2 linked regions of the Rattus norvegicus genome follow. The protein of the gene in region 1 interacts with the protein of each later gene in a biochemical or structural test. Links are inferred from orthologs where the notes say so. Each region holds a gene or a part of one and is shown on either strand. Other genes may lie near its edges.

Region 1 (2,803 bases):
ATGAGGCTGTCTTATGCTTGGACTTGAACCAGGGCCTGTTACCCAGTCTGACCTGGAACTCCGGGCTTAAGCAATCGTGTCTCAATTTCCCAGTGGCTGACACCTTAGGTGGACTTTACTGTGCCTGGGTATAGTTTCCACACTGTATCTTGAAGTAAATTGACAGGTGTTGCCTGGGATGGTGCAGGGATGCCCATGTCTGTGCCCACCCCTTGTCTCTCATCTGAATCCTTGGGGATCTAAAGCTGCAGAGCCCCCTTAGTCACAGACCCACAGTGCAGGCTGGGGACAGGATTCCACACAAGAGCCAGCGTGGCCCCTCTCTGTCACGTCAGCACATCCATTTCTCCTGGCTTAGTTATTACTTGAGCAGTGTTTTATAGGATGCATGGCTGTGGCTCCCTCAAATCCTCAGGCCCCCTAGGCTGAGAGAGAGAGGCTCGCTAGCCCCTTCTCTTCCTGAACAGAGACCTGGCATGTATTTCCTGGTACGCACATGGGTTCTGTGACTTTTTGGCCATCACCTCAGGTCTCTCTAGAGTCTAGATATTCATGTATAACCTTAGCAGCCCTCTCCATTGCCCTCCTTGTCATGTGTCTTAACAGTGAAGGCCCTCTCCCCTGCCGGGTGGGTGTCTTGATATCTTCCACCTGGTCAGGTGACGATCCCATCTGAGTCTCTTTCTTCTCTCCCTCCCTAGCTGGCGATGATGAAATCTCCTTTGACCCTGATGATGTCATCACCAACATAGAAATGATTGACGATGGCTGGTGGCGTGGGGTGTGCAAGGGCAGATATGGGCTCTTCCCGGCCAACTATGTGGAGCTGCGGCAGTAGGGTGGCCACCCAGAGCCTACCAGCACCAGCACTGGGTTCACACTACATCGCGTCTGCGTGTGTTGAATTGGTTTCTGCTTCCATTTCTGTTTTTGTTCTTTTTCCGAAGGTGGGGAGGGGAATATACATATTGCCTTTATATTTAATACGTCTGCTGATGCTTCGGGGCATGTCCTGCCACAGAATTTGCTAATGTCTGATGATCATGTTCACAGAGAACATGGGTGATTACTTTCAGCCATCCAGGTGTTTTAGCTTTGCCAAGCCGACTGTGGTACGTAGCCACTTCAGGGCATGCACTTCTCCTGAGGTTGGTGGTACATGTGGCCTTGTGCCCACTTCCCTTCCATGGCAGTCGGGTTCCCAGGATGGAGACAGTGCTCCTGGAGTGGCCACTCAGGGAGGAGGCTCTCTGGGATCCAGTGTTTGGAAGAAGAGGAAGGGCGTCCAAAGGAAATCGAGGTCCCGGAGCGTTGACCCTTCGAGGGAAGTCGTATCTTTCAGTCCTGACCATTTGAGCCAGGATCTGGGCTTCCTTTACTCCACCTCCTCATCTCAATTCAACCTGACACCCCAGTCCTGGTTGACCCCTTTCTCCTGCTGCCTTGCCCTGAAGTGTTACTTTCTCCCGTCTGTATTCGAGGTCTGTAGCACACAATGCATCTCAGAGATGTGCTGGCCACTTATCCTGAGCTTGGCCTGCGACATGGGAGACTTGGGGAGGGAGTCTTGGACTTGCTCATGACTCCTGCTCAGCCAGAGTGAGCTGTGTGGCCAGCCACCTGGCTGGGCAGACAGATACCTTCTCCCTGCAAGCCTCCAGAAACATGCTCCCTGTGGGGAGCTGTGTTCTTTTTGCCAAATATGTTCAATTATAGTCAGTTGATAGATTAATGTGGCTGAACACAGGACTGAGTGAACTGATCCACCTGGGTGCCTCCCCAGCATCCTTGATCAACTGTCCCTAAGATGCTTTCAAAGTGTCTGAGACACCAGGAGGCTGGGCCACACTGGTTATACACAGTCAAGCGAGCAGCACAGCATGTCCTTGTAGATGCGTCCCCACCTCTGGGACACATGAGGACCGATGCCCGTTTTCTCCCCATGAGCTTTCCTGTAGAATCCTTGCCTTTCCGTTGTTAGGTTGGGTTTTCTATATGAATTATCATCTGGAATTCTGTAGCACACCTTATAGGTATGGATTTTTTTAAATTAAATATTCAGAATAAACTTTTTTTGATCCATTTGCTGTGTGGTCCTCTGCAGTGGTTAGTCTCCATGTTTTGATTTGAAGGTGGCACTGGGGCTGAATTTCCAGGGGGGCCTCACTCAGATGCCCGTTATCAAGGCTGCACTGTCCTTCACTAGGGTAGCTGAGCAGCCGCAGCCCCTAAGGGCCTTGCTCCCTGATGGGTGCTTTCGGCTGAAGTGTACCCTAGGATCTGAGCAGGGAGATGGCTCAGTTGGTAAAACTTGCTGCACATCTTAGGTTTTGTCGCTGTGACAAGGCACCCTTATTAAACAGCTGTAGGGAACAAGGGTTTACTTAGCTACATATGGTCCATCATGGTGGAGAAGGTACACAGCACAGAAGCAGCTGGCCATGTCATGTCCATAGTCAGTCCTGCCCATAGCTAAGATGGTTCCCACATCAGTTAACATAACAGGCCTGCTCAGAGGCCTACATTCCAGCTGAGTCAAGTCCAGCTGAGGAAGTTGCTTCTCAACTTCTTCTTCCTGGGATCCTTTAGCTCACATCCTCAGGTGGTGACCCACAACCACAAACTTCTCTTCATTGAGTCGTTGTAACTGTAATATTGTTCCTGCTAGGAATCATGCGTAAGATTCTGTCTTCCTAAGGGCTCAGGCAACCCCTGGGAAAGGGTTATTTGACCAAAAACCTGGTGCCAAAAGGTGTGCTACATCCTTTAGTCCCAGACAGGCTGATCTTTGAGTTCCAGGCCA
Region 2 (4,502 bases), on another chromosome or scaffold:
CAAAACACACACACACAAAACAGAGGGGGCATGAAGGAAGGAGGAGGAGTAAAAGGACAATGATGAGGAAGAATACATTGGGATATCCAGGGGAGCTAGAGAGAGGGTTCTGGGAAAATTCAGTCAAGATACAGTGTTTACATGCATGGAAATGCTAAAGAATAAATAAAAGACAAGTCTGTTGGGGAGGAAAGCTGTTAACTTTCCAGGTTCCTGCTGATGAGAAAGTAAATTCTCAGGTTCTACTGCACATTGATTTTTGCATAATCCCCTGAGATATGACCTAGCAAAGCACTTTACACTTTCTACATTACTCTGATGTATTCAAGTTTTTAAAAGTATTGCCTTTTAAGTCTGTAATGTAAAAAACACATATCTTTTTCTTTCTTTTTTTTTTTTTTTTTTTTTTACTAGAAAAAGTTTCAAGCTAACAGTATTACACAGAAGGAAATCCATTATCACTCCAACCTGAATAGAGGCCAGGTACCTGCACAGAGTCTATAATGTAGAACACAACCTCTGGGAGGCTGGCCTTTCTTAAAGGCCTGAGACAATCTCACTACTCTTGGAGGAAGTTTATCATCACCCCAAAACCCAAATAAAGGCCATCTGTGCAGGCTATGTAGAACCTCTGGGAAGCTTATTTTTTTATTTTTATTGTTTTACATTTTCGTGTGAGGGGGAGAACGTGTGCAAACTCAAAGAACAACTTGTGGGGGTCTTTTCATTCCTTCCAGCGTGTGCACCTCCAGGGATCAAACTCAGGTTAGTGAGTGCAAGCACCTTTACCTGATCCAACACTTGCCTTCCTTGATGACACAGAGGAATCCCCAAACCCTGGAGAAGGTGGGTTTGTTGTTACTGTTTAACCTAACGTCTTGGATCCTTGCCTTCTTAAAGGCAGAGGCCCACCATTTGGGTGAGCTTTGAAACTACAATGTAATAGTATAACTGACGTAAATCTCAGGACACAAACCTTTGTTCATCTCTTTTCTGACTGCACACCTAGAGCGATCATAGGGGCATGCTGCTGACCACGTTTCCCCACAGTAGAGAAGCCTTCTGTTCATTCCTCAAGTTAGCAGAGAAGAAACACACACACACACCACTACCAAAAGCCAGCTTCATAATTAAGTAACTGCCTGACTTCTCGGCTTTCACCGGCCAGAAAATGTGAAGTGGAATATTAGCAAGTTGGAACCGGAGCCTCGACCCACAGCTGCACACCACTGCGCATGTGCAGCCGCTTCGGAAAGCATTAATGCTTAGCTTGGCTACTGGGTTTCTAGCTATCTGAAAACCCAAAGTGGAGTTTCTGGTTATCTGGAAGGGAGCCGAGGCCCGGCGGTCGCACATTACAGCGCGCGCGCGCACTCGCCCCTCCCACCCGGAACCGGAAGTGGGAGCGATCGCGGCCTGGGGCCTGGCCTGGCCGGGGCGTCGGCAGCGGCGGCCATCTTGGCTACCCGCGGAAAGGCAGTGTGAGGGGAAGAAGTTGTAGGGTGGGGGCGGGAGTGAGGAGGAGGAGGAGGGCCGAGAGCGGAGGGGTGGAGGAGGAGGCCGCGGCGGGGCAGGGCGGGGACAGCCTGCCGGCCGGCCAGCCTGCTGGGCTTGCGGAAGTACTAGCCTACTGCTCACTCGCTACTGCTCGGGCTTCCCACAGCTCCCTCCCTTCCTCCCTCAGGACCGAGGGCGGCCCAGGCCAGTGCATGGTCAGCTAGCTCACATCTCTATCCCCGGCCTCTTAGCAGCACGGAACGGACGGCAGCGGCGGGCGAGGAGGAAGATGGCGGGACGGCTGCCGGCCTGTGTGGTGGACTGTGGCACGGGGTACGGCGGGTCTTCTGGGTGGGGAAACTGAGTCTGGGGACAGCCGGAGGAGGGAGATGAATGGGGTGAGCCGGCCAGACTGGCGACGGGTGGTGCCGGGAGCCTCCCTGGTTCGGTCGCTTCAGCCTTCTGGGACGAAGATCTTTTCAGGCCCTTCCCTTCTGGGAAGGCCGTCTGGCCCACCTGGCTTTCCTTTCCCATCTCTCCTCTTCCTGCCTGTGAACTAGGGGACTCTCAGGGAATCTCCAGGCGTAGGACCAAGGGAAAAAAGAGAAGCGCTCCTTGCGGGTTTTGCAAGATCGCGGTGACAACCCTCAATCTCTAGGGCGTGTGGGTGGGGAGAGCGGAGAACCGGGCTGTGAAAATGGGAAGCTAGAATGGGGGCTTTTGCAGAGGACCCACGCGCCGCCTCTTTTCCGCCCACACCCATTCTTAGCCATCTCCCACTACCCATTGAACCAAGTCAGTTCCAGCGAGGAGGATCTCATGGGGTTATTGCTCTTGCCTCAAAAAAAGTCCCTTAGTGAGCAAGCGCGCTGCAACTTCCTTAGTTTTGTCAAAGCCGCTTCCTGCTTTCCGTCTTTTATAGCCTTATAAGGTAGTTTTTCGTCTCCAACGTTAACACGTCTTATTAGAACTTTCAAAATTAAGCAGGTTGCATAAAGAGTAGATTATGAGTGCTAGGTATCAGTGTGTTTGAACTAAAAAAAATGTTCTTGTGTCCATGGAGGGAGATAATGGGGAGGAGAAGGGACGCACCCTGGAACCTAAACATTCAGTTTGGTTTGTGACTGTGTCTTGAAAGCTGAAAGGAGATAGAAAGGAATGTGTTTGATTAAAGCAATTGTTTCTGATAGTAGTGTGGTTGGCTAAAGTGACTTTTAAAGTTGTAGGTTTGTATTAATGAACCTAGTCAAGAGTTAGAACTTGCTCTGTGTGGTGACCTAGAGAGACGACTACATTTTTTACGCTGTACGTTGCAATACTTGGTGGAGGAAGAGGCCTGTCTGATCTCGAATCCCCCAAACACATAAGTGGTTTTGAGGACAGTTGCCAACCTTTTTCCTCTTATTCACCCTACCACAGTTATTTAAAGGATGCCTCTTCCACGACATTAGTTAGTTTGTATAAATCCCTCCCATCTTAACTCTCTGCCTTTACATGTAATTGTTAGGCAGCCGGAAACAACAAAACACTTAATTTTTTATTTCTTGGAAAACACTAGTTTAGCCTTGGAATTTCTATGTATTTTCTTAGTTGACATCGTATTAAAGTTAGATTTTTTCAATCCGGTCTCACCCTCTTGAAGTGTTTATATATGTATATTTAAGTTTATCTTTTCGTAGTTTAATTGATGAGTACTTGGATGTTAGAGGGATTTTAAAAATTAGAATTGGCTAGCGTGAATAGGATTTTTCAAGTGTATTTTATTGAAGTGACAGATAGTGCTATGTAGTGCTTCATGCTTTAGAAATCACTGTCAGTAAAGCCACATAGTCATTGATCACTGTATAAATAATGCCGTAGCAGCTTAAGGAGGATGCGTCTTTAATCTTTTTATGTATTTATTTTCCTCTTTTGAAATGCAGTTTTGGTTATTTTTGAATAAGTAGTAATTGGTATCTCATTGAACTTAGCTGTCCTTAAGTGACCTTTTTTTCTGAAAGGGCAACCTTGAATTAAAAACACATTTGGAGTGACCAGGAGAAGTGATACAACTTATACCTAGGCTATTTCTGTCTAATATCTCAATTACTAAACCATTACATTGCTATATTGTATATTGATCTCACCTTACAAAGAGAGGTTAGCTGTATATTCATTTATGATATGGGTGAAACTGATTAAAGTCACTTTCTCTATTCAGTGTTTTTACCTTTGCTCACAGTCTGAATTTCCCAATTTGTAGTTTTCTTTATTTTGCTTCTGAAGGTTTTGGGTGTGTCATCCTCTCCCCTGCCAATCCCACCAGTTGGCTCTACTAGACAGCAGTTTAGAGACTCTCACCTTGAGCTTTATTAGAAAAGTCCTTTCTCAGCGCCCAAGATAAATAGCATGTCCAAAAATGACTAGCAGGGAGTTTTACATCTGAAATAACTGTTTCCCAAATGCAAAATGTACCCCTTTAATTTGTACACCCTCCTCCCCCAGTCAATGCACTCACCTCTTAGGTCTCCACAATTACTCTTCTAGAGTAAGTGGACCATTTATAGGTTGTCCATCCCATTTCATTAAAGAATTTAGGCAAAAAGTGGTAGTGTGTTAAACTTGATGGCAGGCTTACAAGCTGTAAATGTTAGGACACATGAGATTTAATTCTAGAACTTTAAATTAAGAATCCTACAGCATAATTCATCATCACCACCTAGGTTGAGGTCATGAAGTATTTTTCAAATACTTAAGGAATTAAGAAAGAAATACTTCCTTCATATCTGTATCACCAGGTCAACATACCTTTTTGGTCCCTATTGGCCAAGTATTGTAGAATAAAGTTCTTGTTCAGAGACAAAGATGTAGGGCTTGGAAATGTAGCTAGGAAAAGTGCCTCATTCTCATGCACAAGGCCTGCTTCAGACCCCAGTCAAACAGGCTGGAGAGCCATCTCCAACGAGAAAAGCAAGTTTTAAAGCTTCAAAAGGATGTAATGCTCCTGTAATAAAGTTATCCTAAGA

Evidence for each region.
Region 2: the proteins of Cttn (region 1) and Actr3 form a complex in vitro, tested with the Homo sapiens proteins (3 studies listed by BioGRID). The link is inferred for Rattus norvegicus from reciprocal best matches to the Homo sapiens genes CTTN and ACTR3.

Annotation. Positions count from the first base shown.
Region 1 is NC_086019.1:209,028,327-209,031,129, reverse strand, and holds the end of Cttn (src substrate cortactin), read left to right. Parts: intron 1-701; coding exon 702-838; 3' UTR 839-2,082; downstream 2,083-2,803.
Region 2 is NC_086031.1:39,393,709-39,398,210, reverse strand, and holds the start of Actr3 (actin-related protein 3), read left to right. Parts: upstream 1-1,701; 5' UTR 1,702-1,786; coding exon 1,787-1,830; intron 1,831-4,502. UniProt on the Homo sapiens protein: ATP-binding component of the Arp2/3 complex, a multiprotein complex that mediates actin polymerization upon stimulation by nucleation-promoting factor (NPF).